4 linked regions of the Saccharomyces cerevisiae S288C genome follow. Changing the gene in region 3 together with the main gene of any one other region gives a genetic interaction. Each region holds a gene or a part of one and is shown on either strand. Other genes may lie near its edges. The genes, in order: UPF3, COP1, OPI1 and SDA1.

The links.
Region 1: mutations in OPI1 (region 3) and UPF3 together harm fitness more than expected from each alone (negative genetic interaction), as found in Saccharomyces cerevisiae (2 studies listed by BioGRID).
Region 2: mutations in OPI1 (region 3) and COP1 together harm fitness more than expected from each alone (negative genetic interaction), as found in Saccharomyces cerevisiae (3 studies listed by BioGRID).
Region 4: mutations in OPI1 (region 3) and SDA1 together harm fitness more than expected from each alone (negative genetic interaction), as found in Saccharomyces cerevisiae (2 studies listed by BioGRID).

Annotation. Positions count from the first base shown.
Region 1 is NC_001139.9:630,264-637,426, reverse strand, and holds UPF3 (Upf3p), read right to left. Parts: upstream 3,124-7,163; coding exon 1,960-3,123; downstream 1-1,959. Other genes in the region: mitochondrial 54S ribosomal protein mL59 MRPL25, read left to right, coding at 1-323; U4/U6-U5 snRNP complex subunit PRP38, read left to right, coding at 552-1,280; mRNA splicing protein SMD1, read right to left, coding at 1,275-1,715; ENV11 (Env11p), read left to right, coding at 3,364-5,946; Rho family guanine nucleotide exchange factor ROM1, read right to left, coding at 6,154-7,163. UniProt on the Saccharomyces cerevisiae protein: Involved in nonsense-mediated decay of mRNAs containing premature stop codons.
Region 2 is NC_001136.10:190,613-200,051, forward strand, and holds COP1 (coatomer subunit alpha), read right to left. Parts: upstream 7,565-9,439; coding exon 3,959-7,564; downstream 1-3,958. Other genes in the region: proteasome regulatory particle lid subunit RPN5, read left to right, coding at 312-1,649; LDB17 (Ldb17p), read left to right, coding at 2,138-3,613; YDL144C (uncharacterized protein), read right to left, coding at 8,050-9,120; chaperonin-containing T-complex subunit CCT4, read left to right, coding at 9,384-9,439. UniProt on the Saccharomyces cerevisiae protein: The coatomer is a cytosolic protein complex that binds to dilysine motifs and reversibly associates with Golgi non-clathrin-coated vesicles, which further mediate biosynthetic protein transport from the ER, via the Golgi up to the trans Golgi network.
Region 3 is NC_001140.6:63,796-70,916, reverse strand, and holds OPI1 (transcriptional regulator OPI1), read left to right. Parts: upstream 1-3,460; coding exon 3,461-4,675; downstream 4,676-7,121. Other genes in the region: YHL017W (uncharacterized protein), read right to left, coding at 1-641; MCO14 (4a-hydroxytetrahydrobiopterin dehydratase), read right to left, coding at 847-1,209; APM2 (Apm2p), read left to right, coding at 1,369-3,186; AIM17 (Aim17p), read left to right, coding at 5,058-6,455; SPO11 (DNA topoisomerase (ATP-hydrolyzing)), read left to right, coding at 6,760-7,121. UniProt on the Saccharomyces cerevisiae protein: Negative regulator of the transcriptional complex INO2-INO4 in response to phospholipid precursor availability.
Region 4 is NC_001139.9:977,913-986,321, forward strand, and holds SDA1 (Sda1p), read right to left. Parts: upstream 4,157-8,409; coding exon 1,853-4,156; downstream 1-1,852. Other genes in the region: LSC2 (succinate--CoA ligase (GDP-forming) subunit beta), read right to left, coding at 124-1,407; transcription factor TFIIIB subunit BRF1, read right to left, coding at 4,570-6,360; CPD1 (2',3'-cyclic-nucleotide 3'-phosphodiesterase), read left to right, coding at 7,054-7,773; 6-phosphogluconolactonase SOL4, read left to right, coding at 8,060-8,409.

The sequences.
Region 1 (7,163 bases), on a different chromosome or scaffold from region 3:
AACGATTTCATGATCCGAAATATTCACTTAGAAGAATGAGTGACGTATATAAGTTGGCACTGCGTTATGGAGTAGAAGAGTTTTTACCACCGATCGAAAACACTAAGAAACTTTTCTTCGAGGAGAAATACAATAAAAAGACCCTCATGAAAGGTGTTCTCTTGCCCAAGGGTCATAAGCATGAATTGAAATTAAACGAAAAGCTAAAAAAACGTGAAGAAGCTTTAAAGAAGGTAGATGAGTTGATTGCTTCCAAGAAGGGTTCGAAGTATGCCAAGAGAGTAGAAAAAATGAAAAAAAACCAAAGTATAGGCTGGTTCTGAAGAATAAGAGAGAAGATAACTATAGTTTAGAATAGTAAACCCTATGTGTACTGTTTTATGTTTTTAATGTCTAATCATGTAAATAATTTTGTGATATCAATAACGAACGTTCTGAACAAGAATTATGATAAAAAAAAGTAAAATCTAAAGCCATTACAACGCTATATTTTCAGTGGCAGTAAAAACGCAAGAACAAAAACAAAACGTGGGTAAAGAACAAGGACTACAATGGCTGTCAATGAATTTCAAGTGGAGTCTAACATCTCTCCAAAACAACTGAATAACCAGTCAGTGTCACTTGTTATTCCTCGGTTGACAAGAGATAAAATTCATAATTCAATGTACTATAAAGTAAATCTAAGCAACGAATCTTTGAGAGGCAATACAATGGTAGAGCTTTTGAAAGTTATGATTGGCGCATTTGGTACCATAAAAGGTCAAAATGGTCATTTACACATGATGGTTCTCGGTGGCATTGAGTTTAAATGCATCTTAATGAAGTTAATCGAAATCAGACCGAATTTCCAGCAGTTGAACTTCTTATTGAATGTAAAAAATGAGAACGGTTTTGACTCGAAATATATTATTGCTTTGCTTCTGGTTTATGCGCGGTTACAGTATTATTATTTGAATGGCAATAACAAAAACGATGATGATGAAAATGATTTGATAAAGTTATTTAAAGTACAATTATACAAATATTCACAGCATTATTTCAAACTAAAAAGTTTCCCACTACAAGTAGACTGCTTTGCTCACTCCTATAACGAAGAACTTTGTATAATACACATTGATGAATTAGTCGATTGGTTGGCCACACAGGACCATATCTGGGGTATTCCATTAGGGAAATGTCAATGGAATAAAATATACAACTCTGATGAAGAGAGTAGTTCTAGCGAAAGCGAAAGTAATGGTGACAGTGAAGATGACAACGACACCAGCAGCGAATCATAGACCTCTTCTTGGCCTTTTATTCGCTGGTGCACCAAAATCGCGCCTTCTCTTTTTGCTGGGGTCATTTGCAATTTGACCCGATCTTCTTAGGGAATTAAGTTGCTTTTGGTCAACCAAAAGTGAATCCAGGTTCAAGGAATCAGGTAAGATTATCTGTCTTATGGTATTGCCTCTAATGTTTATGTATTGCAAACTTGCTATGTTGTCACTTGCAGTAGGTTGCTGTCCTCCAGTCAAGTACAGACTAGCCATCGCAATACCATTACTGTTCAATTTATTTAGTCGGGGTTGTGGTAGGGTCAACTTCACGTCAGTTAAGATAGCATTCATTTGTGGTGATACCGACTGCAGTGTACCCCAAACGGTGGTACCGTTTTTTAGTTCTATGGTAACCTGCTCATTGCGCAGCTTTTTTAAAAAGTTAACCAACTTCATAATCTTTTTCTCGACGATTTATAAACGATACTTGGAGTCATCTTTCTTCATGACAATTTCATTGTATATGAACATTTCATATATTTTATTATTTTAAATATTCATTGAAAAATCATTAAATACGAAACTCAGAATTTATAATGGGGAATACTTTATGTAATAATATAATCATAAAATATATAATTCTTATTATTTTATTATAAATGTATTCCATATATAATATATAAGAAGCCATGAGCTTTTACTACTTCTTGGTATCATCACGATGCAAAATTTTTACCCGTGGTACGAAAAGGTTTTCTTTAGGTTGGAACGACGGCTGGGTTTGAGCGGATGATGACTGAGGCTGAGAGGAGTTTGATATTTTTAACTTCTCTTGCAAAAGCATTTTCTTCTTCCTTTGTTTCAAAACCTCTTTACCCGCTTCCTCAATAATAACCACATTACTGTTCTTGGTCTTAGAAATGGTGCTTTTTTCACGATTTTCACGCTTCTTCTTGCCTCTGTTCCGTTTTTTCTTTGGTATCTTAGCGGATGCTTCCTCTTCTTTGAATTTCTTTTTGGCGTTTTTATTTTTCTTCTTTTTGTTCTTATTCTTGACCTTATCACCAGTTCCAACCAGCTCTGTTAACACCCTTTCTGTTCTTTCTGCTATTTTATTTTCTAACTCTATGCTTTTTGAGAATTCTTTTTCTAAAGATTTCAATACGCTAAAATCTTGGAATGAGTACTCGTCATTTTCATTCAGCTGTTTCATTGAATTCATAAATGTTTTAAAAATTTCGTCTTCTTCAATTGTTCCTACTAGCGCGGCATCCTTTTTTGATGTTTGAGTGAATTTCTTTACGTAGGGCGACAGTTTCATATCTGGAATTGTAATATTATCCTTATTATCAATGAATTTACAAGTTTTAATGAAATTTGCGCATTTTTCCAAGTCTGATAAGTTGTCGAACAAGAAATTGCACCGAGAATATGTCGAGTTTTTGAATACTTTACTAGAATAATGACCTTCAAAAAAACACCAGTCACTGTACTTGAGTTTACCCTGGATATCTTGCTTATCACCATCATCGTTATTATTATCTCGTAAGATGGCAAAAAATTCATCTGCAGTCAAATTTGGAGGTAGCAATCTAATAACAAGCTTAAATCCTTCATTCTCGGTTGATTTACCCAATCTAGCCTTTCTTTTATAGTTATAATACTCTCTGTTCCTTTTCTTGTTATTCCTTCTGCCTTTGCTATTGTTGTGGGTAGCATTAGTAGCATTATTAACCTTATTCTCATTCTTTTTAGGATCTACCGTCTCATTCTTACTTTTTCCTCTGTTCTTGTTATGATACCTATTTCCCCTGCCTTTCTTTTTCCCCTCACTATTCTTCAATTCCCCAGCCACATTGCTCATGATAGATTACTATATATTTCAGCAGAAATGTAAGTCCCTCAGTAGGTTTTCCTTTCCTCTTTGCTGATATATTCATGCAATAATCATCGACAATATTTTCTTTTGTATCTTACTTTTTAGGCGAAAAATTTTCAACTTTTGATCAGCAAACAATACACAAAATAAATAAAGGGATGATAAACCATAGAATAACAAAAGTCTTCCGAAATAGCATATGTACCAATCTACTCAATCATTAATATGAACACTGCATTGGATGATTTACATGGGGATTTGGTGACTTTAGAAGATAACGAAATCATCAATAATTCTGATCATTCATCTTCTCACTCTACTAGTCATGAGGAGGAAGACGAGGAAGAAGACGATACTGAGGATATAGAACTTATAGAAAAAGACGGCAATAAAATCCTATCAAGTAGAATTCATCCGGAAGACGAAATCATAAATGATGGGTTAAATATATGGATTCCGGTTCAAATGCTCAAGAAGAATATAGCAAAGTTCTGGTCCCATTTTCTAGCAATTGAAAAGAAATTAACGAAAGTTAAATGTAAACATTGTGGAGAGATACTAACAAGAAGCGATGCAAGTTTGACAAAAACCTTTAGATCTCACTTGAAAACAAAGCATAATATAAGTGCCAATAAAAACTTCTATTCCATGAATTTCACAGTAGGAGACTCCAATCTCAAAAACAATACTTCCAGCACAGAAATTACACGTAGACACGGCTATGATTCGTTAACCTTCAATTCCGACCAAAGTTTCAAATGCTTTGACATAGGAAAATTACAGAGCAGTAATTACCTTTCTATTTCCCAATTAGTAGCCATAGTCATAGCCTCAGAAAATTTACCGCTGAACTTCTTTGAGAATGTGTCCTTTAAATCTCTTTTATCAAAATTTCATAGGATCCCTCCTTTAACTACCAATATAATAGAGGAGTCAATTATAGGGTTGTCAAAATCAATTGATGAGTTGATCAGAAGGTCTATATCAAGGAATGATACACAATTACCCTTTACTATCCATTTATCCGATAGTAAGGAATCAAATCAACCTCTTTACTTGAAATATTCTAGGGAAATTCGGGCACAATTGTCTAACTTGGACTTATCCCATCTTATTTCTGTAAATTTTACAGAACTGGCTGGAAAAAGATCATTATTTTCTTTGCAACTGTTCGATAATACCAACAAAGTTTCGAAGGGTTTACCATTATCTATTTTTGTACGTAAAACAACGGATATAGATATTAGTGTCTGGCAGGAACAGCTCAACAATTTGTATTCGAAATACCCTGGCTTACAAAAATCGGTGATTTCTATAACTTTGCCTCAAAGCCATTATACAATGGTACTAGAGAATAGAAACAGTCATAATTTTACTTTCCATAGCGGGAGTGTGAGGGAGATAAAGTACCATACTTGCATAGTATCTGAATTACTTCATTGTTTTTTACAGCCGTTGTTTAATGTTCCTACTGAATCAATGCTGTCTTCCTTTTCTGTGGCCAAAGAAAATCATTCAGGAGGCTCTTTGTTAGACTCATTAATAGATTTTTCCCATATTGATTTATCATCTACTATTCTCGGCAAAATATGCTGTTTGATAGAAGAAGTTAACTTAAACGACTCCCTAAAATCGGATTTCCTATTATACTGCCAAAATTATACACAACCTAACTGCAATGAACTTACTTCAATCCTTTCCTGTAACTGCGATAGATTTTCAGCTTTGAAGAGTATCTTAGAAAAATTTGCAAACTTAGTTCCTTTCTTCAAGTCTATCAACTCTCATTTAGAAAATGAATCACTTAGTGAATCCGATTTTCGTCTAATAAACACGGTAGAAGAGACGTTAAGAACTTTCGAGCAATCAATTGAGTACTTTGCTTCTTCCGCTCCATTGAAATTTACCCATACCTTGGTTTTTATCATTAAGTTTGAGTTATATTTGACAGAGATTATACGAAGCTTCAAATTCACCAAATCTAAAAAGCCCTTTGAAAAAATCCTAGCAAGGCTTCTAAAAGTTAAAGACCTTTATTTACTTGATGATGTAAACTTGATTGGTGCTTTCCTGTATCCATCAATCTTCCAAAGTAAAAGCCTTCTAAATGAAATCTTTGGCACAACATCGGTAAATAAAATAGTTCATAACATGACCAAAATTGTTCTAAGGTATCTTAAAAACTTTATCAATATAACTAATTTTCGTTCCTCTAATAGTGGTGGGGAGAGCGGTCGGAATTCCGGTAATAATCTTCTTTCTGACTACGAGGCCATTTTTATGAAAGAATCACGGGACGTAGAGCTTTTATGTAACACCAAGTTAACCGCACCACTAACAGAAGATTCATTACTTGTCCAAATCATTCGGGATGATCTATTACGCTATGTCAACAGAATTGCGCATGAGCTGCCTAATGCATACCATGACTACTTAAATGATAATGATATTAGCTTCGATGGATCTCACTTTACAAAACATGAGTTATCTGAGGAAAACGACTCTAACTCGGGGGAATGGTGCCTAAATCCCATGGAAGAGACATTTGATATTCATATTCCTATCTCGGATTCAATTTGGAATAATTACATAAGCAGTAAAAACAAGATTGAAGTAATCGATATTTTACTTCAGTTGCTTTCAGTAAATTCGACATCTTCAATACGGTCAGAATTATCTTCTCTAACAGCTAATCAAGACTTCAGTACCAAGTTGAGTGAGGAAACAATTAAAATCAAACTTTTGAATTCACAGTTTAATCTCGAAAAAATTAATTTTCACTCTGGATCAATTTTCGATGCTTGCTAGTGACATAATATTCCAAAGGAAAGGACAATATACTTTCAAGACTTTATTTTCTAGGACAAAATTCTTGTCCATTGTATTATATTTTCTTAATGGCACCCATATATTTCAGGTAAACTACATATGGTTATACAAATAAAATAATATTACTTAAATTTAGATGTATAGGTTCAAGAAATAAGTTTTAAGGTATTAATATGGGCGGTCAACTCAAAAATTTAACAGTTCGATAATTTCAAATCCTTGAGGATCCTCATAACAATATAAGATCTTCTTGGCATATGATTTTAACATACGTATCTTGTTTCCAAGTACACAGCGGACAAGTTCTCCATTTTCTATATGTCTAATTTCAATAAAGTTACTATTAATTGCCACAATATAAGGGTAGGAACACGCGAACTGTTCTGGTTCCCCCTCCCAATGAAAACATCCCTTTGTCTCCTCCCTCTTCCCTTGCTTATTGAGAAAAAAGCAGAGTTCTGGAAAACATGCAAAAGTTGAATTTTTTATCGGAAACATGGAAACTACTTTGAACGTCTCTTTATACATGTTCGCTAAAACTTTGTTATCATGTAGATTTAAAAGCTCCCTCATTTTAAATCCATTTTTATCACACACTTCCGGTACGTTTAATATTTTGATATTTTTTTTACAACCAATGCAGATCTTATTCTCCAAAAAAGAAAAGGACAGAGGTTCAGAATCAACGCTAAAATCTACCAAGCCTGCCTTTAGGTTTTTTTTAAAATTACCGCTATTAAAATCAAATATCAAAGGATTAACAATCAATAATTGTACGGCGTGCAAAAAATGATGTGCAATCATAATGATTCTTTTACCATTACAGAAACCGTCTTTGAACATTGCAACATATTTAAATAACACTTTAGAATTTTTTCTGAAAAGAAAATCTGCATTTTCTGCATCGTCGATTACGTCTAAAGGACAGCCGTACAGTTTTTTGTCAATTAGAAGAATCATAACTTTATATTCTTCCAATACAGAGATCTGTGAAATTGATATTTTGTGCAGAAGGTGCACTGGTTTTTGATTGATCGATGTAGCATAATTAAGAACAAAGAGTCCCATATTTGTTGCAACCAATAAAATTTTACCAGCATGACAGATTAGGACATCGTTGACGCGATTAGTATTTATGTATGAGTGAAAGAATTGACCTACCATTTGCTTAAAAGTAATATGTTTAGTTTCATCAA
Region 2 (9,439 bases), on a different chromosome or scaffold from region 3:
TCTCAACTGTACTATTTACAGTAATAATTAGTGCAACCTTCAGATGCTTCTCGCTAAATGCTCATCTCTAAATTATCATTATTATTCCTAATAAATCCTAAAATTTTTCACTCGTTCTGTACGGCTCATCGCCCCAATATTACCCGTCTTGTATGTGATCTTTTTGACTTTTCGGTGGCAAAATGCAAAGGGGAATCCAAGGAAAAACCATAACAGGACACTACATCAGAGATAATCTTGAATTAAGAGAGTAGAGGAATATACTGCTGGGCTCACTACCATTTTTGTTGCTAGAGTAAACGTAGAGAAAGATGTCAAGAGATGCACCAATTAAGGCTGACAAGGATTATAGCCAAATTTTGAAGGAAGAGTTTCCTAAGATCGATTCGCTCGCTCAAAATGATTGTAACTCTGCTTTAGACCAACTGTTAGTGTTGGAGAAGAAAACCAGACAAGCTTCAGATCTGGCCTCCTCGAAAGAAGTTTTGGCCAAGATTGTAGATCTGCTAGCATCAAGGAATAAGTGGGACGACCTAAATGAGCAATTGACTCTACTCTCAAAAAAGCATGGTCAGTTGAAATTGTCAATTCAGTATATGATACAAAAGGTTATGGAATATTTGAAAAGCTCGAAATCTTTGGATTTAAACACCAGAATTAGTGTCATTGAAACTATCAGGGTGGTTACAGAGAACAAAATATTTGTAGAAGTGGAAAGAGCTAGGGTCACCAAAGATTTGGTGGAAATTAAGAAAGAAGAGGGTAAGATTGATGAAGCTGCAGACATCTTGTGTGAGTTACAGGTTGAGACCTATGGCTCCATGGAAATGTCTGAGAAAATTCAGTTTATATTAGAGCAAATGGAATTGAGTATATTAAAAGGTGATTATTCCCAAGCCACGGTGCTTTCAAGAAAAATTCTGAAAAAAACTTTTAAAAATCCAAAATACGAGTCATTGAAGCTAGAATATTATAATCTTCTGGTAAAAATTAGTTTGCACAAGAGAGAATACCTAGAAGTTGCGCAGTATCTGCAAGAAATTTATCAAACAGACGCCATTAAATCAGATGAGGCTAAGTGGAAACCTGTTTTATCGCACATTGTATATTTCTTAGTCCTTTCACCTTACGGCAATTTACAAAATGATTTAATTCACAAAATCCAGAATGATAACAACCTGAAAAAATTAGAAAGCCAAGAATCTTTAGTAAAATTGTTTACTACGAATGAGTTGATGAGATGGCCAATTGTTCAAAAAACCTATGAGCCCGTCTTAAATGAGGATGATTTGGCATTTGGTGGAGAAGCTAATAAGCATCACTGGGAAGATTTACAAAAAAGGGTCATCGAGCACAATTTAAGAGTCATTTCCGAATACTATTCCAGAATTACTTTACTAAGATTGAATGAATTGCTGGACCTAACGGAGAGCCAGACGGAAACATACATCAGTGATTTGGTAAACCAGGGCATCATATACGCTAAAGTTAATCGCCCAGCCAAAATCGTGAATTTTGAAAAACCAAAAAACTCAAGCCAATTATTGAACGAATGGTCACATAATGTTGACGAACTATTAGAACATATAGAAACAATAGGCCATTTAATTACAAAAGAGGAAATCATGCACGGTTTGCAAGCTAAATGAAGAGATTTTCGAGTAAGTGTCGGATTATCTCAGATCCGGTTTTGATTTTAAATCTGTTACTAATCGAAATGTGTATTTACGTACGTGAGATAAAATTATCTATGCATATATATAACTCAAATGGAAAATGGCCACGTATTGCTCTCATTCTCTTCACTTGCTTACACAAAACATAAGGTGACAATTAATGGAATTTTAGTTTTTCAATTTTTCAGGGGAAAGAAGACACCCAAAAAAAAAGTGAAAAGTCAAAACGGTAAACTGTTTATGGTATTTAAATGACATTAATAGCAGCGTAAAGAGTCATTTTTTCGTTTGATTAGCAAAACTCTGAACATTAATTACTACACCTATAGACATATCTTTAAACAGTGAAATATTTTTTTCATTTAGTAAACAAGAATTAAACTTTGAATATTTTTTTTTCGATTAACTTATGTCACTTTAGCCTATACTTTCTTCGAACATTTTTCCTTTCATTTTGACTCATGATATTAGATCCATTATCTCCAAATATTGAAAATCATACTCAAGATGAAATAATTGAGTTTTGGGAAAAAACTGAGTCTATTGCTAACATACCAAAGGAAAACTTGGATGAATCCCATGTTAACTCAAGCCTGGTTGCCTACCTGAAGTTTGCTACTGATTCCTATAAGGTTTTTATTAATACTGATCGTGACCTCTACCGGATGTCGCTAATACTGTTAGAATCGTCCTTATTTGAATTTAAAAAAGAGTTTTGCCTAAGTAAGTTGCAGTCGTTACTCAACATAGACCTACTGGAAATGAATATGAAGTTCATTATTGTTTACATTCTTCTCTGTGAGGCGAAAAAAAACGTGTACTCCTTAGAAATCATGCTCAAGTTCCAAGGATTTACTGTGTTTTATAATACCTTGTACACACAATTCGCCTATTTGAGCAAATACGGAAAGGAAAGGACAGTTGCTTCTAAACATCAATACAATTCTAATAATTCTAGCACAGGTACATCCTTGGACAGTTTAGACCGAAGTTTGACTGATATTGATTTGGGTATTATAGACGAAATGAAGCAAATTTCAACTGTTTTGATGGATTTGTTATTTCAAATTATGAAGTACTGTAAGTGTGTTATTGCTAATCTTCAAATTGTGGATGACTTTTTTGTTTACTATATGATGGAATCAATGAGGTCCGACACTATGGACGATATGTTCAATAACGCGGAGTTTAAACTGCTGTTGGCGTTGAACGAACAATATATGATGTTTGCCAAGGAGTACGACATTGAGAACAAGGTCTATAAGTATTTGATCAATGGGTCTGTCTCAAGATGTTTTACGGAGCTATTATTACTGAAATTCAATAGGGCATCGGACCCTCCGTTACAAATTATGATGTGCAAAATTATTTATCTTATCTTGACACCAAGAGGAGACTACTCTCCGATGAATTTCTTTTATACAAACGACTTACGTGTTCTTATCGATGTATTAATCAGAGAACTACAGAATATCAGTGAGGATGAAGAGGTATTGAGAAACACCCTTCTAAGGGTTCTGATTCCGCTATTAAAGAATACACAATTATCCAAAACACATTATAGAAAGGATGATTTGAATAAACTATTAAACTACTTGTCGACTTTAGATAATATATGCGTTGACAGTCCAGCGTTGCACGAGCATCAAGTTACAGTGGCCTTATCTCGGAAGTGTCTTCAACAAATTCCTTGGTTAGAGACACCTTCAACGCCTTCAGATGGAGGTTCATCGGTCTCTAGTAATAACACTAGTAGAAACTCTAGCATTGTTGCATTGGGGACGCCCGACAATCAAAATATCTTGGCTCGTAAAGGCCATCTTTATAGTAATCGTGAATTAGATGTTTCTGCAGAATCTTTGACTAAAAGAAAGGCTAAAGCTCCGCCTCCGCCTCCTCCTCCTCCTCCATCAAGAAAATGTGGAACTCCAAAATAAGTAAAGCATTATTTCTTCTTGCATTAATGTGGTTCTTCCGACCATTTCTTCTTCTACTCACTGCAGTATCTAATGACACATTGTACTTTTTATATACAAATGCAACAATCGTAACTATAAAACTAAAGTTCGGGTTGCTTCCGAATACATGCTGGCAGAATTTCAGGTTGTGTGTCACTTGTTAAAATAGGCGATATTTTTTATTTTAGAAGTTGTATATAACTGTTAATTACATAGTCAGTTTTTTTTTTTCACTATCATATTGTTTAGATTAAAAGGACTTGTCACATGAAATTTAGGTCGAGCAGAATACAATCCCGAGAAAATCAATAGGCAAAATAGCATTTATACACGTATTCTTAATCCGGATGCAGGTGCACCGATCTTAGAAATCATAGCAATTCTATCTATTTTATCTTTTTCCGTGATAACGTATTTACTACCTGTTAATGGGTCAGAAACGGAAGGTGTATCTTCATAAATTGGTTTGTAGGTGGCTGCACAAATATCGAATTTAGCATAAGGATCAAAGTCAATTGGAATGGCGTCACTGGCCATTGAGTCGGCTTTGTTTTTGATTTTACGTGCTTGTTCTGCACGAGGACCAGAAGAAATAATCTTTAAAAATTCACCGGCAAAATATGAGGCCTGTAAGAAATTTTTGTGTTTGAAATGTTGGGACATAGCCACTTGTAAAGCATTGGTACGATGAATTGGGGATAGTTTTGCCTTTGTAAAGTATGCAGCTAGCTCAAGCATGCGTACAGTATTTCCCTCCTTTAATGAGCGGCGTTCCAATTCAATGGATAAACCTAATATATACTCCCTAGCAGTTTCCAGTATCTTGTGTGCTAATTTTTCATCTTCAGCATCATCGACCATTAATAGCGTAATACGGTAGATAGCTTCTCTGAAGCATTCGATTGCAATATCTGGTTTGTTTAGTTTAAAGTTTTTGTAACCCTCATTCATTTTTTCATTAACGACATCAAGACCTGGCACGTAAGGAAGAATTTGATCTTCACTTACGGTATCATCATACGCTCTGACATAACCTAATTGAGCAGGAAGTTCACAGGGCGTACTAGGAATGTATGTTCTACAACCCTCATAAATGTTGGTAAAATATTTCTTCAATGGCTCCAGCTTGACTACACCCACTTGCTTGCTCAAGGCTTGAACAGCGGCATCAAAGGCACCAGCGGCAACTAGGACAGCAGGCAGTTTAGAATTCTTGATCCAAATGGCTGTTTCAACTTCCTGTGCTGGAGAGGTAATTTCGCCTTGCTCAACTTCTTCAGGTAACTCTTCTCCCACATCCAAATCTTCGTCACCCAAATCCCAGGCACCTTCGTCTTCACCAATATCCTCATCGTTAAAGTTTTCTTCGCCTAGTGGTTCTTCTTGCTCTTGAGTGGTGTTTACTGCTGGAGTTTCATCGTCTATAGTCAAATCGTCAATTTGACCTAAAACAGCCTTTTCAAAGTAAGATAGTTCAGCCTCTTTTAATGGCCATTTTTCAAGTGGCTTTGAGATCACTGGTCTTTGAACGAAGTTGGAGGCATCCATCTGGTCTGGTAAAGTAACATCTTGTTCATCAACTTCAGCTTGCTCCAAGAAAGCAGAAGCAGCCGCTTCATCTCCGTTAGCCTTTGCTACGGCATAAGCTAATGGTAAAGAGCCGCCCTCTGCAAAAATGCTAGATCTTTCCTTGGTTGAATTGTTGTAAAAGGTGTTTAATAGCATACTTCCAAAGTCTTCACGAGTCTGAGCGATATTTTGCATTTTAGATAGTTTGTTAACGTCACCTGTAACTAAATACAGGAAGGAAAGTTTGTCAAAAGAATGTTGAGTTTGATAAATCATTTCAGCTAAGCTGGCATTACCTTGTGCCAAGGCTTCTTGGATTAATCTTTCCCAAGTACTAGAATCATTCAGTTTTTTGGCTTCATCTAAGGCAACATCCAAATTACCGTATTCCAAAGCTAAATCAAAACGGATATGTGGGTCTTGAACGAATTGTAAAGCAATTTCTGGGTAACCTGACTTCTGCAGATAGGAAATGATATTCTGGCCAACCAAATTAGAATCTTTTATCAGACGTAAAACTTCTGGGAAATTTTTGTTAACCAGGGCCTTTTTGAAGCGATATTCTGTAGGATCAATGGTTAAAATTTCAATCTCACCTTCACGGTTCAAGCAGTACACTAATTTTCCCTGAACTTTTGTGATATATAAAGTTTTCTCCAAAGTTTTAATAATACCTCTATCCCCGTTCAATAGTGAGTACCTTATATGATTTAAAGTTGAATAAATTAATACACCAGTTTCATCCCAAGCGGCACTTTTGATTCTAATCGTTTCATGCATAGAATTAATCAATTCTAGCTTTTTGGTAGCCAAAGTTATGGTGTGCTTACTCATCAATGCAACATATTGACCATCTAAGGACCACGAAACGTACTTGACGTTTTTAACAGCCAATTGGGATACTTTTTTGCCCTGTTGGACATCATAAAGAATAACTTCTCTGGGGTGTATGACCAAAACAGATCCAGGACCTGCAGCTACAATAGTTCTTACTGTTTCCTCTACTTTGATATTTCTTGTAACTTTGTTTTCGAGAGAGCGAACTTCAACAGATTCAGTGTTCTTGTTGTAAACAACAAATCTATTACGACCAACAAAAGTAGCAAAATTACCTGTATCTTGGGTGACACTTGTTGGCTCCACAGCTCCAACTGGTTGTTTTGGTAAAATAACGAGAGCAAATTTGCCATTAGCTTCATTAACCAAAACTGAATGTTGGGAGGGATTGTACGATATACTTCTGAATGCATCCCAAGGTTGACCAATACCCTTTAAGGACGCATAAGGTAATGAAGCGACTCTTTTCTGGAAATTGAAACTTTGGATTTGCTTTTCCGCATTGACAAAAAACAACTGGTTTTGATGGATAAAGCTGCATGGTCTTTCGCGATCGAGCTTGAAAACCATAATACCAGAATCGTGAGCTGCACCAAATAGATTGATATGAGGATGTGCTGCAATCAACCAAAATCTATCGTTTTCTCTTTTGAATTGCTTTACTGGAGTTCTCTTGTCAAGATCCCAAACCCTTAGCGTTTTGTCTTCACCGACAGAAATGATCAAGTTTTGATGTGGGTGAAAGATAACACTATCAACATTGTTAGTGTGACCTCTGCAAGTATCAACTTCCCAAGCTTTCGTAGCACTCATTCTCCATAATTTAACTTGACGGTCGTCACTGCCGGAGACAATCAATGGTAAAGTTGGATGGAAAGAGGCCCAGTTGACACCTCTTGTGTGACCCTCTAGAATAAACTTGACAACACAGTCACCAAGAGAGCCATCCAATAGATTTTGTTGTGCACTCATTTGCTCCTCAAATGAACTAGTACCAGGAGCGGAGTGTCTTTTCCTTAAACCGGAAATATCCCAAATTCTGATGGTTTCATCCAGAGAAGCGGAAACGATCAGGTCATCGGTTGGATGAAATTGAGCACACATGACAAAATGATTGTGGCCGGTCAAACATGCAATTTCCTTACGGTTTTGCCAGTTCCAGATTCTTATGGTCTGGTCATCAGAAGCAGATATGATCCAAGGCAGCTCACGGTGGAAAAACACGGTACGGACATAATCCAAATGCCCAGTTAAGGTGTATAGACATTTGTTAGTATCTAAGGACCAAACTTTAATGGTATAGTCGTCACCTGCCGAAACAAAAATCGGTTGGGTTGGATGGAAATCTAGCCCACGAACAGGGCCCTCGTGGTCTTCAAATCTGTGAAGTAGTGTTCCCATCCTGTAATCCCATAATTGAATAGTAGAGGAAAACAAAGCCACCAAAACCCAAGGTCTGGAGGGGTGGAAGGCAATGCCCTTGGCCCTAGTGGACTTTGATTCAAATTTAGTTAACATCTTCATCTTGATCCAGTAATGAAATGAACAAAGACACTACAGAAGAAAAAAAGTATACTGATTTCAGGTTAAATAAACCGCGAATTTGTAAACAGGTATGATAATGTTTTTATTCAAAAGTGTAAAGGGAAGATAAAATAAAAAGAAAAAACTTTATATCTTAAGCAAAGAAGGGGGTAAGTAACAAATGTTTGGAAAATCCTGCTGGTTTCGCCAATTCTATGATTTACCTAATTGCAATGCCTCTTCAAACAAGTTTGTGGTCCCTGTATGCTACTGAATCGAGGCTCAATCGTCACAGTCTCGAAGACGGATCTGTTATTTATTCAAGTTGGCAAATTGTCGATTTCGTTTCGTGTTGTCGAAATTTTCGGTCGCTCTGTACGTCGTATAAATGCTGACAATAAGAATAATAGTTAAGAGTACATACTAAATTATGTGTTACAATATACTAGATGAAGGCTCGTCAACGAGGCAAGCAATGGTTGGAACTACTCGTCCACAAGAGTGGCAGTTTTTTCGTCGAACTTCAATAGGCCTTTCCGCTCCTTTAGTTTGGCCTGTACTAGCACAAGTAGGTTGTATAAGATAGAAAGAGTGGGTGTAGCGACGCCGTTTCTTTTCGCGATTCTTATGGGGTTGCCTAGGATGACTTCTAGCTCCATCAATTGGCCCTTCTCGCAGTCCACGCACATGGATGGCTTGAACACCTTTTTCCTGGTAATCTCTGTAAACATCGTTATGAACTCCTCTTCGATAATGATGCCTTCACTCGCCGCAATGGCGATGATCTCCCTCATGGCAGGGTGGAACACTTCAATTTCTGTGCTCTTCTTGTTAACCCCAAACTCCAGGCAACGCGGAACGTCTAGCCCCACAAGTGCCGTGGATGTGTTGATAGCTGCATTGTAGAGCAACTTCTTCCACCGAGAGTAACGGACCCTAGGGTCAAATTCGACAAAGTTTTGCCCCTCGTTGCTGTACATCCTGACGAAGTCGTTGGCAGCCTGGATAGCAGCAGCGTCCTGTGGATCAAAAGCTCCACACGATAAGTGGTCCTGGCCCACTTGACTGATATGGCCTGACCCGATCTTAGTGGATCCGATTAACTGGATGCCAGAAAGCACCGTGTAACGATACTGCTCTCTGGGAAATTCCGCCCATATCTCCTTCTCAATATCGATTCCGTTCTGTACCAGTAAAATGTGTGTCGTCAATTGCGGCCCATGTAGCTCTTTATTCTTCTCAAGCACAGGTCTGATGATGTTGGACACCCTTGAATTAACGGGCCCATCTATGATGTTCTTGGTAGTCACTACAATATAGTTGTATCCTTGGTTGTCTGCGGCAGAAGCAGCGTCCTCGACGCTGCTGTAAATATGGTGGGGTCTCCAACCTTCTAACCGGCCATAGTCACATGATTCGATTGTGTAGCCATGCTTCAATACCCTATCGTAGTCAGATCTGACTACCAAGGAAACGTCGCTCTCCTTCTTAAGCCACAACGAAAGCGCAGTAATGACCCCAACGCCACCTGCCCCGATAACTAGTATTCTAGACATTTTCGACATTAGCTTATGCCAACTTGTATCCTGGCACCGGGACTGTAGTTTATGAGGTATATCAATATGTCCTAATTAAGGCTATATAATTTGGTATTACTATCACTTGCCACGGGGAAACTGAAATTTTTTTCGTTTCGCCACCAAGAAAGGCTAATTGAATACAGTTCAAGAGGTTGATATAGCTAAGTGGGCATGAAGGTTATGAATTGTAATTGGAGGTGCGGCAAGTGTGCAAGACGGGTAAAGGAGAGTATAGAACGATGTCTGCTAAAGTTCCATCTAACGCCACGTTTAAGAACAAGGAAAAACCTCAAGA
Region 3 (7,121 bases):
CAGCATAGCCAAGAGTACACTAATGTACAGACGGCATAAGCGACGGCCAAAAAGGCATAAATAGGCATCTTGTACGCCTCTGAAGCGTCCAATTGACCGTAAGCGTTCCTAAAATTCACTGTAGCCTTAAACTTGGAACTGGAAGAAATGAAAGATGACGTGGTCACACAATAGTAACCAGTTTTGTTAATTGAGTATACCTTGTCGTTAGTGCCCAATTCTTGTTGAGTGAAAGTCAAAATCTGACTCGTTAGCTTATGTTCCTTACTGGTGAACGGATCGATGGCTGTCTCTTGAATGATAAATTGCCCCTCCGACGAATCCTCACAGAGGCCCAAATCCAATGCGTAGTCATCGCAAATATACTGAATTTCTCCATTTGGTAACCGCACACCAATATGCTCATAATCTTGGAAATCAAACACAGCAACACTAACCCCCTCGCCATCATCGTCTTCATCAGCAAGTGACAATTCCTCCAACGTAAACGATATATAGGGGTCAACTTTTCCATTGAAATCCTCCTTGGAATACATCCCTGAACAGACATCGTGATATTTTTGATTTATGCTTTCTTGGTTCCCTTGAACTACCCCACAGAGTAGCAACAGCCACGTCAGTAATAGCCACGTTCTATCCATTTTTCTGTTCGCTAGTTATTGTGTCTAGTTTGCCCAAAAATGATTTACACAATACAGTTGAAATTTCAATACCTTTTTTTTCAATTTTCAGTTTTTCCATGTTGCAATGCGAGAATGGGTATGGGTAGCAAAAATTTCTAGTAGTAAAATCGATAGGAAAAAAAAAATGGAAAGAGCAATAGCCTTTTAGACCTGCCCTGCCTTATCAAGTTGTCATCTCATCGATGTAGGAATCTATTCTCTTGGCCATCCGGACGTCTATATCGCTAAGCTGGCTGTGAGCCCCGTCTTTCGGGTCTATGTCATGCGTATGAAGTTCCAGCTTGACCCAGGTGTAACTTGTGTGAATCAGGGGATGGTGGCCCCATAGATGAGATCTCATCGATACACGAGTCAAAAAGGCCCATGTGGTTTCGTAGTCCTTGAATGTTACCTCTCTTGTTATTCCCAAACATTTGGTCTTATTAGGGTCCCATTGAACTTCCCAACGGGTCAAGGGTTTTAGCTTCTCGAGTAGTTTGCCCCCTGTGAGTGCACTGGACGCGATTCTAACAATCTTGTTGTGCATTGTATTCTTACTTTGGTTTCTTTCTGCTTTTGGTAGGTTGTGTTTACTGTTTTATAACTGGAAGGGCTTAAATTCCAGATTGGAAAATTGAGAATGCCTTGGACAAAAAGCAAATAAAGGGACCCAAAAATAGTAAAGAGGAAATCAGGAAGGAAAGGCATGTCGTCAAGCCTTTTTATCCTGGATGAAAATCTGGAGCCATTGGTATCGAAGAATATTAGAGCACTACCGAATCTATCGTCGGTTCTTTCAAGTTTCAAACAATGTTATCATGACGGGTCGCCTCCAATTCTCTCCCAAAACGATTGGTTCTTTATACATTTGAAGAGAGACTTTCTGCATTTCGTTTCAGTGATACATACCACAGACAAACCAAATATAGACTTAATGACTATACTAGCCTTTTTGGAACAATTTTATCATCTTTTACAAAAATATTTTGAAATCGAGGTCTTAACTAAGAATGTCATACTGGACAACATCTTACTTGTCCTGGAGTTGATTGATGAATGTATAGACTTTGGTATCGTACAAGTGACGGATCCAAGTATCATCAAGGACTACATTCGTGTGAAGGTCAACGTACCAAGAGTTACAGTAGACAATGAGGAGTGGAGCCCTGGTGAAGAGAGCAGTAGTAGTAGCGGTAGCGATAGCGATAGCGAGTACAGCAATACTAATAAGAGGAAGGATAAGAAGAAGAAAAGGAAGAAGAAAAAGGGCACTAAAGGGAAAAGCGTGGGCAAAAGTAAATTAAAAAGTATAATGGTAAACAATAAAGAAAATAGGGGCATAAACGTGGTGGAAACTGTCAAGGAGACACTAAGGAACAAGAATGATACCGGTAAAGAAGCCGCTAATGACGAGCTCCCCAATGACGGTAATGATTTATACATCAATGGCGATATTGCGAAGACGATTATAATGCCCATATCATGGAGAACAAAGGGGATACATTACGCCAAAAACGAGTTCTTTCTTGATGTTATTGAACGTGTTCAGTACTTGATGGATTTTGAAAAAGGAGTGATTAGGAAAAATCTGATACATGGAGAGATTGTGTGCAGATGCTATTTATCAGGGATGCCCAAACTGAAAATATCCATAAACAAGATACTGAACAGGGACCCCCAGTTCATGTCGAATTCCAGCTTTCATCAGTGTGTTTCACTAGATTCCATAAACACTATTGAAAAAGATGAAGAAAAGAATAGTGACGATGATGCTGGTTTGCAGGCCGCCACAGATGCAAGAGAAATCGAATTTATACCGCCGGATGGCGAATTTGTTCTTTGCCAATACGAGTTGAAGAGACATGTAAAGGATGCGCCGATGGTGAGGTTGAAAGATTTTGAAATCAAACCTAAACTGAAGAAGTTTAAAATCCAAATTGTAACCAAAATTCAAACAAATTTTAAACCCACCAACTCAACGTCGAAGCTAAACGTGAGAATTCCCCTGACAAAAGTCTTCCAGGAATATAAAATAGACCTCAGCAAGCAAATTAGATTCAAGGCAAACATCGGCAAGGTCGTGTTTAACTTGAGTGACGATTTTCTCCTCTGGGAGATACAAACCATGAAGGGGCACCGAGAACATAGCACAAACAAGAGCTCACAGTACAACAGCGACGAAGATGATCCAAATACGTGTGCATCCATGGTGGCAGAGTTCCCCCTCTTCAACCAGGAAGAATATGACCGCCTGCAAGAAGAAATGAAAACCTCAATGAATCCGCCGCCCTTGCGCACGGGACCCAGGCTGGAAGAACTATATAGACAAGTGCACGACCAACAAACTTCCCACGTTACTCCTCGAGATAAGTTGGTCAACATTGATTTCGAGATTCCGTACTGTACATGCAGTGGCCTGAAAGTTGAGTACTTGAAGGTCGAAGAGCCACAATTGCAGTACCAGTCTTTCCCCTGGGTCAGATACAAGACCGTCAGCGACGAAGAGTACGCATATATTGTTTGACGCTTACGCAGACATCTCATAGATAGACAAATGGTACGTTCGTTTTAGTATATAGATGGCACCTTATAATCTTCATATGCAACCGGGTAAAATCGGGCGTTCTTATTTTTTTTTTTTCCACCTCAATGAGAGGGATTAATAAGAGGATTGGAGCAAGACAGCGATCTGCACTTAGCCAAGAAAGCATATCAGGCCAGAACGTGGCATTTTGTTTACAGTGCTGATTAAAGCGTGTGTATCAGGACAGTGTTTTTAACGAAGATACTAGTCATTGATGTCTGAAAATCAACGTTTAGGATTATCAGAGGAAGAGGTAGAAGCGGCTGAAGTACTTGGGGTGTTGAAACAATCATGCAGACAGAAGTCGCAGCCTTCAGAGGACGTCTCACAAGCTGACAAAATGCCGGCAAGTGAGTCGTCTACGACGCCGCTAAACATTTTGGATCGCGTAAGTAACAAAATTATCAGTAACGTAGTGACATTCTACGATGAAATAAACACCAACAAGAGGCCACTGAAATCAATAGGGAGGCTGCTAGACGATGACGATGACGAGCATGATGATTACGACTACAACGACGATGAGTTCTTCACCAACAAGAGACAGAAGCTGTCGCGGGCGATTGCCAAGGGGAAGGACAACTTGAAAGAGTACAAGCTGAACATGTCCATCGAGTCTAAGAAGAGGCTTGTAACGTGCTTGCATCTTTTAAAGCTGGCCAATAAGCAGCTTTCCGATAAAATCTCGTGTTTACAGGACCTTGTTGAAAAGGAGCAGGTGCATCCTTTGCACAAGCAAGATGGAAATGCTAGGACGACCACTGGAGCTGGCGAGGACGAGACATCGTCAGACGAAGACGACGACGATGAGGAGTTTTTTGATGCCTCAGAGCAGGTCAACGCCAGCGAGCAGTCTATTGTGGTGAAAATGGAGGTGGTCGGCACAGTCAAGAAAGTCTACTCGCTGATATCGAAGTTCACAGCAAATTCGCTGCCGGAGCCCGCAAGATCTCAGGTTCGGGAAAGTCTTCTAAACTTACCCACAAATTGGTTCGACAGCGTCCACAGTACATCACTGCCGCATCATGCTTCGTTTCATTATGCCAACTGTGAAGAACAAAAAGTGGAGCAACAGCAACAGCAACAGCAACAGCAGCAGCAGCAGCAACTTTTGCAGCAGCAACTCCTGCAACAGCAACAGCAAAAAAGGAACAAGGATGGCGACGACTCAGCCTCGCCGTCCTCCTCCGTAACTGCGAATGGGAAAGTACTCATTCTCGCCAAAGAATCCCTGGAAATGGTGAGAAATGTCATGGGCGTAGTCGACTCCACGTTGGGCAAGGCTGAAGAATGGGTGAAGCAGAAACAGGAGGTAAAAGAAATGATCAGGGAGCGTTTCTTGCAACAGCAGCAACAGTACAGGCAGCAACAGCAGAAGGATGGCAATTACGTAAAGCCCTCTCAGGACAACGTGGATAGCAAGGACTAACCGAGACAGATTGAGGTCTTTCATGCATTACCACCAGTAATAATATTATACGGAATAATATAGTTTATATAATATCCATAATCATAATCATAATCATAATCATAATCATAATCGTGATATTGTACCAGCCCCGCTTCTCCCCTTTTGAACTACCATTATTATCGGACCCTCTTTACCTTTGAATGGCTCAGTAAGGACCTTTGCGCAGCCGTAAGGGGGTCGGGAATACATTTCCGGGGTTGATCCTCGAGGAAAAGTGCTATCTATATAAGGAGAAGCCCTTCTAGATCCAAATATCAGGGGTAACTCTTCACAACTGGCCAGGAACATATTCCAAGTTAAAAAGAAAAAATAATTATTAGAAACCAATTACCAACACAAGATGCTAAGATCAAATTTATGCAGAGGATCTCGAATCCTTGCAAGACTGACCACTACACCAAGGACATACACATCTGCGGCGACAGCTGCGGCTGCGAATCGGGGACATATCATCAAAACATACTTCAATAGAGATTCTACGACAATTACGTTCTCCATGGAGGAGTCCAGCAAGCCGGTTTCCGTTTGCTTTAACAACGTTTTTCTTAGAGATGCCTCCCATAGTGCCAAGCTGGTGACCACGGGAGAACTGTATCATAACGAGAAATTGACCGCTCCTCAGGACATTCAAATTTCTGAGGACGGAAAATCTCTAGTGGTGAAATGGAAAGATGGCGGTCATCACCAGTTCCCTTTACAATTCTTTATCGACTATAAAGGTTCCAGTTTTGTTTCGCCAGCAACAAGAAAACAAGAATCCAGATATAGACCCCAGTTATGGAATAAGCGCATCCTGAAAGATAACGTCAAGGACTTACTTTCTGTGAGCTACAACGAGTTTATTGATCCTAAGGATGACTCCAAGCTTTTCCAAACGCTGGTCAACCTACAAAAGTTTGGTATCGCTTTCATTTCCGGTACTCCTTCATCCTCCTCTGAAGGCCTTACCATACAAAAGATCTGTGAAAGGATCGGACCCATAAGATCGACTGTACATGGTGAAGGTACATTTGACGTGAATGCATCCCAAGCGACAAGTGTTAATGCCCATTATGCCAATAAAGACTTGCCGCTACATACGGATTTACCATTTTTAGAAAATGTGCCAGGTTTCCAGATTCTACAATCTCTACCTGCTACAGAAGGGGAAGATCCCAATACTAGACCCATGAATTACTTCGTGGACGCATTTTATGCTACCCGTAATGTTAGAGAATCGGATTTTGAGGCTTATGAGGCTTTACAAATTGTTCCTGTAAATTATATATATGAAAACGGCGATAAGAGGTACTACCAATCCAAACCTTTAATCGAACATCACGACATTAACGAGGACAATACTCTTCTGGGTAATTATGAGGCCTTGATTAAATGCATTAACTACTCTCCACCATACCAAGCACCTTTCACTTTCGGAATTTATGATAAGCCCTCAGATCTAAATAATAATCTGGACTTGAATTTAATTACCACCCCAGCAAAACTAACAGAGAGATTTTTGTTTAAGTCTTTCATTAGGGGGTTGAACTTGTTCGAGAGTCATATCAATGACTTCAACAATCAATTTAGATTGCAGTTGCCCGAAAACTGTTGTGTTATCTTTAACAACAGGAGAATTTTGCATGCTAACTCTTTAACAAGCTCAAACCAGCAATGGTTAAAGGGTTGCTATTTCGATTCTGATACTTTCAAGAGTAAATTAAAGTTCTTGGAAGAGAAGTTTCCTCATGACAAATAACTTCATTTTTTCAGCATAGTTATGTGATTCTTTATATTTATTTATTTTCTCTCTGTGTAGTGACAATTTTTTTTTTAATGTTTCATGTTAAATATATTTATTTTAAGAAGCCGTCAGTTTCCTTTTGTTTCATTGAAATCAATAACTAAAATTAAAATTATAAAAGGAATAACGTAAAAGAAAGTCTACTACCCAAGGAAAATCTACTTTATTTAGTGATTATATCCAACTAAATATCATTCAAATAACCTCACATATTTGTCTTCACCCTTAAGATTTTACGATTTACTAAGTTCACCTTCTCATGGCTTTGGAGGGATTGCGGAAAAAATATAAAACAAGGCAGGAATTGGTCAAAGCACTCACTCCTAAAAGACGGTCCATTCACTTGAACTCCAATGGTCACTCCAACGGAACTCCCTGTTCAAACGCAGATGTTTTGGCTCATATTAAGCATTTCCTGTCATTGGCGGCTAATTCATTAGAGCAACATCAACAGCCTATTTCAATCGTCTTTCAAAACAAAAAAAAAAAAGGCGATACAAGCAGTCCTGACATTCACACAACATTGGACTTCCCTTTGAATGGCCCGCATCTATGCACTCATCAGTTCAAGTTGAAAAGATGCGCAATCCTTTTAAACTTATTGAAAGTCGTTATGGAAAA
Region 4 (8,409 bases), on a different chromosome or scaffold from region 3:
AGAAATTTTTTCCAAAAGAGTATATTTATATGTATGTATACATGTAGGGAAAATAAGAAACTTTATTAATAGTAAAAAAGCATATATACTTTATTATTAACTCTTTTGTTTTTCTCGAGAAGCTTAATTTTGGGTCAATTCAACGACCTTTTTAGCAGCAGGATCTAATTCATCAAACGAATAAATCTTCACGCCTGACTTATTGATAATGTCGCGGCCTTCTTCTACTTTGGTACCTTGCAAACGTGCCACAATGGGGACCCTAACTTCTAGTTCTCTGGCGGCTTCTACCAGCCCCAGGGCAACATAGTCACATCTTACGATACCGCCGAAAATATTGACGAAAATTGCATCTACGTTCTTATTGGATAAGATCAATTCGAAACCTTGTTTGATGGTCTCAGGGGTGGCACCACCACCACAATCCAAAAAGTTCGCAGGATCGCCTCCATTTAATTTGATGACATCCATAGTAGCCATAGCCAAACCAGCACCATTGACTAAACATCCAATGTTACCCTTCAACTTAACAAAATTCAAATCATACTTCTTTGCCTTAACTTCATCAGGATCTTCTTGTGATAAGTCCCTCCAGGAATATATCTTTTCCTGTCTGAATGATGCGTTATCATCAAACCCAAATTTGGCGTCTGTACACATGATTTTGTGGGTTGGATCATGTTCAATTTCACTCAAAGGGTTAATCTCCACTTGTGTAGCATCCCTTTCCATGAATATTTTATACAAATTGGAAACAGCTTTTGCTGCCTCGTCTTGTGCATCGGGACTGAAACCGAGACTCTTGGCAACATCCTTGGCCATTTGTGGGCTCAATCCCTTTGAAGTTTCAATTGAAAATTTCTTTATAGCATCTGGGGTTCTCTCAGCCACCTCTTCAATATTCATACCACCTTGACTGGACGCAATGATCATCGGTTTCTTGGTTTGTCTGTCCATTAGAATAGATAAATAAGCTTCATGCTTTGTATCTACTCTTTTCACTATATATACAGCAGATACTGGCTTCCCCGCTATTCCCGTCTGTTTAGTAATCAGGTTATGATTGAGCATTTCTTTTGCAACATCCTCTGCCTGCTGAGGACTTTCGATCATGTGAACACCGCTTTTGTAACCGGTGTCGAAGTGACCTTTACCTCTACCTCCGGTCAATGCCTGCGCCTTGATGACCAGTTTGTTAGTGTTTAATTTCTTGGCTGCTTCGAAAGCCTCTTCGGGAGTGAACGCTGGAAATCCTTCTGGAGTACCAATACCGTATTCCCTCAATAACTGAGCTGACCTGTATTCATGAATTGACAAGTGTCTCCTTGCTTGTAAAGCAGCTTGCGCGTTTAGCCTGCTTAATTGCCCACACTTTGAAATTAGGGATAAGGATTTTCTTGAGTACATTTTGTTCAGTTGCAATGCTTCAGTATTTTTTTCGATTGTATTGACTCAATCCTTATTAATCCTAACTACCTAAAAGTCAGTTACAAAAAAACTGGACTATCGCTCTATAGTCACTGTTATTTTTCGAGAGAAAACGTCAAAGTGCTGATAAGGAAAACGTCGATCTTATATAAAACCTCAAAGATGTTGACTACGCGGCAATTGAAAGGCCAACCAACTTTTAGAATACTCACTCCGCCGCTGCGGGGAAAAGCCGAGAATTCCCGATGAACACATAATCGATACCAGTTGGAGCATTTTTCTCTGTACCAAGACATAAAAAGAGTTTTTTTTAGTATCTACCTGGCTTTGGTGTTCCATTCAAGGTAGAGAAGTCCTCATACAGTTGGAGAGATGAATGTATCTGTGTATATGTATGTATATATTAATATGGCTACGATGTCGTCTAATACCCCTTCTTCTTTTGTTTGGTGATGTGTGCACGTAACACTTTTTGCTTGTCTCGTAGTGACATTTTTTGTTTACCTCTAACAGATCTCTTGTGAATAGACATAACAAAGTTCTTCCTTCTTTCTTTTTCTCTGTTGGTAGTAGAACGCATGTTGTCACGCTTACCGCGTCTACTACCAAATTTGTCTCTACCTTCACGACCTTCCAACACCTTTTGTAATCTTTCCTCACGAGACTGTTTGTATTTGATAGGGCCTGTTAGTGTACTTGCATCAACTAACTCTTCACGCTTGTCTTGTTTGTGGATACCCATTATTTTAGCAACGCTTTCCTCATTACGCAATTCTTGTAGTTTAGCGAAATCTGCCGGAGTTAAAATACGTGTAGAAGCAATTTCACGGAAGGCAGCTTCGGGATCTATATCTGCATCTTCTTGCTCATCCTTCACTTCTTTTTCATCGTCATCATCGCTTAGTTCCAAATCGGAATCTGATTCCTTGCCCTTAGCATTGTCTTTTTCATCGTCACTATCTTCCATATCAACGTCATATTCTTTATCACTATCCATGGTGACCCACTCACCGTCGACATCGTCTTCTTCGCTATCGACATCTACTTCCCAGTTGGCATCAGCGTCTTCATTTTCACTCTCTTCACCATGTTCTTTCTTCCATTTGGCTAACAGTTCGATACCAGCAATCCCTTGAACACTGTTGTCGGCACCAAATTGCGGTCTTTTTGAATCTTTACCTCCTTTCTTGGCTTCTTGTACTTCCATGGCGGCATTCTTACCACGATCCTTCTTCTTTAGCATTTCTGGTGCCACGTCTCTATACAACGCTATCAATGACTTGGCAGCCATATTGACACCTTTAGCTTTAGACCCCTTATATTCTACCAGATCCTGTAGTAGAATCTCATCGATAGCCAAAGGTGCACGAGAGCATATTTCTCTAATGGTATTAATGCCTGCAGCAGCGACTTCATTGGCAACACCGTCTGATACAAACTCGTCTGCAATCTTTCTCACCATGACATTTATAACTTCAGGAGGGACAAGATCATGACATGCTTGGGCACATGCGGACATAATTCTTGTAACATCTCTTTGTTTCGGAGTTAAGTACTTTAAAAAAAAAGTATAAATTCCTAAAACAATTAACTTATGGGTACCAATCAACCTTGATAACAGCTGCATCAAAGATATTTTTTGTTCCATGTCAAATTTGTTTTTCGTTTTGCCTGAAAGATGTTCCTTAAACAATTTTTCGGCAAATCCTTGTGGATCTCTCAAAAGGTGGATAGCACTGAAGTTTAAATACCCTTGAGGAGCACCCGGTCCGTTCTTCTTCTTCTTCTTCACAGTTTTTATGGCATTCTCCAGCTTCTTACCACGTCTACCCGTTTTTTTATTGACTTGCATCTTATGCCTTAATGCATCTAAATCAAACCCATCCTCATCCTCGGAATTTTCTTCAAAATTTTCTTCACGTTCTCTGTCAGCATCCAAAAAAAACATCACACCAGACATGACAATCTTAACATCCTGATGTAATGCTGCTTGGGTCATAATTTCTACTGTTCTTGAATCATCCCAAATACCACGTCTCCAAAGTTCTCTGGTTAATTTTGTGGCCCAGATTCCCTGGGAATCTGGTTGATCTAACAAATTAAAGCAAACGGCCTGCGTAGATTTGTTCAATTTTTGATTTTTACCATTAGTATTACAACTTTTTAATAAAGAAATTAAATTTGTATAAATGATTTTCCTCAATTCCTTGGCGTGTGAATTAACGCCGAGTGAATTACCATGGGAAGAGTAAGCAACCAATAAAGGAAATAAGCTTTGAATTAATTCCTCAGCAGTAATGACGTCCTTATTCCTTAACATCGTCAAACAACTTAAGATTTTTTCTTTCAATTCAAATGGCAAGGACTTATGGTGTTCCAGCAAAAGCTGCTTTAATTCAGACGGGAAGTTTGCAGTTTCACGAGGAAAACATGAGCAGACTTGAGATACGAAGCCAACCAATTCAATAAGTTGCGAAGTTGAAGTGCTCATGGTGGTACCGTTAGTACCTGCCATTGTAGAAGATCCATTTCCTACATCGAGCCCATTAGTGGCAGCTGCAGAATCACCTCCAGCAAGCCCATTTAACATAAAAATGTCCCTTAGCGATTCATAATGTGCATATTGTTGAAGAAACTCCTCTTGATAGGACTCTGGGTCACGCTTTACCAAATTCTGTAAAAGAATGATATTTGTTGGGAGCATAGCTGCTCTACTTCTTCTACCCATTGTTGATGCCCTTGATTGGTATATTCAGTGCGTCTTGTGCTTCCTCCTTAACTATTATTACTTATTCAAAAAAGTGACGTTTGATATGTTTTTTTAGTGGTAGAACGTTCTATCTGTTAAGCGTGTTATGGTTATCTGCGATGAGATGAGTTTAAAATTTTCATTTTTTAGCCGATCAAGCAAAAGAAAAGAAAAAAAAAAAAAACTGAAATTTCCACCTTACCCGTTTTTTTAATGGAACAGTGATTGTTACGACATTGAGATTTTAGATTTATATAATCACATACATATTAAATAGTTAATGCACCTTTAATTCTTTTGCACTTCATGTTCTATATATTTTAGCCAAAACCAAATGTATTGCGTCTTTATTTCCGTTCCCTTTTTCCTTCCTAGGGTTGATTACCTAAACGTTACCTAAACAAACCGTCAATGGCGTCGTAATTAATCTTCTTGGAGAAACTTGCCTTCTGCAACATGTTCTTGACACTATCAGCAGTTGTGAAATCACCACTTTCCTCAGCTGCCTTCAATGCAGCGTGTAAACCAGACTTATCTTGTAAGTCTGACATCAATCCGATAGCTGCTGCTGCATCCACAGTTTTTGTAGGTTCGTCACTTCTAGTATTATTCCTACGTCTCGTACGTTTTTTTTTCACTGATGTGTTACCTGTGGCAATATCTGCCTCCTGTTTCAAACGTTTACTCTCTTGTTCAAGTAAGAAATCTGCGTTCAGACCAATCCAAATTCTTTCCTTCAATTTAGAAGCTTCCTCGTTTAATAGGTGCGCGTTTAACTCCTCATCATCAACATCTTCTAAATTATCTGGGTCGTCACTAACTTTCGAAAGGTATGTGTCCGTTGTGGGTAACAAGTGTAAATTGCGAGGACAATATGGGTCTGTTTCTAGAGAGTAACCATCAATGGCATCTTGAAAATGCCCAGATTCGTTCTCTTTCTTTTCTTCTGATGTTTTTGTCTTTACCTTCTTGACTTTTTCCTCAGTCCCTTCCGTCTCTTTGTCTTCCCCTTCAACATGCTCGTTCTGGATAGAAACTTCAGAAAGTTTGCGTTTCCTTGTTTCGTTTTCAGAACCTTCATGGTATATATTTTCACCATCTATACCATTAGTAGCCTTAATCCTCTCCACAACACGGGCCCTTCTTTCTGAAAATTGTTTTAAGTAAAACAGGACTTCCTTGGAAGACAGTTCTTGTTCTCCTAATACTTGCGTCAAAATTGGATTTTTATTCAATGCTTCTTCACTTGTTTGAAACATCTCTTCTTTGTCTAAAGAGTCCTTTATTTTTCTTTCTTTCTTTCTGTTCTTCACAAAGGAGGGAGGCCTAGCCTCACCGTCTTCCACATCATTTTCTCTAAATTTTTGAACTGAAAGTTTAGCAGCCTTTGTATTTTTGAATTCGTTCAACCGTTGCTGTAAAGTTTCCTCGGCGACATGTGAAACTGCGACGATCTCTGTATGAGTTCTTCTCAAATTATTCATCCTGCAAGCTAGTAGAATACATGCGCCGGCAATACCTGCAGGTCTACGTCCTTCAAACATCCAGTCCTTGGACATTCTTTGAGCCAATTTTACGGCATCTTTTACCACTTTGATCTTCTTGTCAGCAAGATCCAATTTTTCGGCAAAATGTTGAATGAATAAGGAAGGATCCGCTAACGGCAATTCTGTGATATGTAATTTCTTTACCATTTTCAAAAATGTGGCTCCTATGGAATACACACTCACCTGTAACCTTGAAGAGAAGTCGATCAGCATATGATGCGTCTTTTCCTTTCTACATGCAACGTAAAGACATGAAGCGATAACATTTTGGGACCTACGACCTTGTACAAAGTTATTAGCCAATGCAAGCTTATACCATTGGAAAGCAGCATCTGTGATATATTCCGGGATATGTAATGCGTAAGAAACGGCGCGTAATTTCCTTCTTGCATTGTTCAATGTGGCTTCTCTAGATTCTAGAGCACTAGAACCACCAAATGCAGCATGACTTTGTCCTGCACCGATAAAAGAACCTTGTACTACAGCAGCACCTGCACTTGTTTCACCGAATGTAACTTCAGAGACGATAGGATTATCTTCTGAGACAACACCACAAGCTTTACAAACTAAATCGTTGTTAGCATTGGAAAGATCTCTCTCAAATTCGGTTCCGTGACAGTTCTTACACACTGGCATTGGTATATGACTATGGACTCTTTTTTATTACCGTTTTTACCATTGGGATTGTTCTTGATGCGATCAAAAATATGATTTTTTTTATCATACCTGATACTTCGCGAAAACCTTAGAATAGCAAATAAGGCCATCGCAACATTAATAGACAAAAATTAGAGTCACTTCACTTCGTTGATTTTTGATAGCGACGGCCGTGACCATTGCAAGATTTCTAATGAGGGGAAGAACAACTTTTCTTGTAGATTACCTCCACTTTAATCGGATGTCTTTTTTTACGTCCAAGAGTATTCAATGTCATCAAGATAGAAGCAAATTTTTCTAACACTAAATGTTATATTGCATCTGTATCAGTATATATGTGTATGTGGGAAGCCATAGTTCACTACTTCACAACTTTAAAAACAATCTATTTTCCTTTGTTCACTAAGTGATTTTGTAGGCGTGATCAAGTGCTTACCGGGGGGTTTTTATTTTTTTTAGGTTAGATCCGATGGAGAAGCGATGCAGGTGAAGTTTAATAAGAACCCAATTCGTAAGCAGGGGCACAAACAATCAAGAAGTTATCAAAGTCACTTTTGAGATACCAAGAATCTAATCAGATTATTTTATCATTTTATTTTACCATCAATTGTAATTATTCTAGTTTGGGAATTCGCGATACTTCAATTTGCTAATATCAGTAACCACAGAAAAATGGCAATAGCATTATGGTATTGTCCACCACAAGGATCAGTTGCTTACGAGACATTACAGATGCTTATATTTTCGTTTCAAACGTTGTTCCCAGATTCACCAGTTTTTGAACCTCATGTGACGGTAACGTCCCATTTGGTGTGCAATAGTAAAGATGATGTCAACAAAATCTTGACCTCCTGTGTTGCTGCCATCCAATCGATAAGGTCACACCAAACAGCAAAGAAAGGACGTAAGGGACAGGTATCCCATGCTGTTGCAGCTCCTTTGGTATCTTTCAATGGATGCAGTGTAGGTAAACAATATTTCAAGAAAATTGTGCTCGAGTGTAACAAGAACAAAATACTTTATGGGGTCGCACAAGTCATGAGAGAGATGTACGTAGAGATCGATCCTGAGACGCGAAGTAGCCGTGCCGCCACTTGGGTGCACGAGGAATTCCATCCTCACGTCTCATTGCTTTATTCGGATATTCATCCGGTAAGTCAGGCGTCATTGCGAGTAGTTCAACAAAGAATTGAAGATGCTCTAGACGTGCAACTAGTTCCAAGAGAGAAACGTAAGGGTTCCGGAAACGCTGATGGGTCCAATGAAGTGCAAATGAGATGGGATTTTGACGTATCTTCATCGCTATCTTGGAATATCCCAGGAACGTTTAAAGTGGTCAACTGTGTGGGGCCCGTTCAAGAATGGGAGGTATTGGGACGGGTGGACGTTTAAGCATACATTTATGTGCACTGTAAGTAATTATATAGAATTTTTTTTTTTTTTTTTTTTTTCATATCTGTCAATACTTGAAAATGTTCTAGTTAGAGATTTACGTATACTGATCGCTTGCCTTCGCAAGGGATGGAAATCCCTTGAAAATTAAAAAAATCCCCCCCTAAGCAGCGAAAATTGTAAGATCCATAATATTTAAGAAATGACGAAGAACGTAGTCTTATCGCAGCAGTTTTCCAAACAAAGAATGCCATTCATCAAATAATCCACAACCACCTCAAGAAAAATGGTGAAATTACAAAGGTTTAGCGAAAAGAAAAGCCTCATACACGAATTCGGCAAGTTTATCCTTGAAAAGCAAGAATCGGCGTTAACGGGCGACGCTGATGCAGTGTTCAATATCGCCATCAGTGGAGGATCGATGAACCAAGCGCTGTACGAAAGTTTGGTAAATGACAAAAACATTTTTCCACATATTAAGTGGCCACAATGGAGAATCTTCTTCTGTGACGAAAGATTGGTTCCATTTGAGGATCCGCAAAGTAACTATGGTCAGTTCAAAAAAACAGTTTTGGACCCGCTAGTGCATCAGGGCAACCAATTGAACTTAGGCCCCACTGTATACACTATCAACGA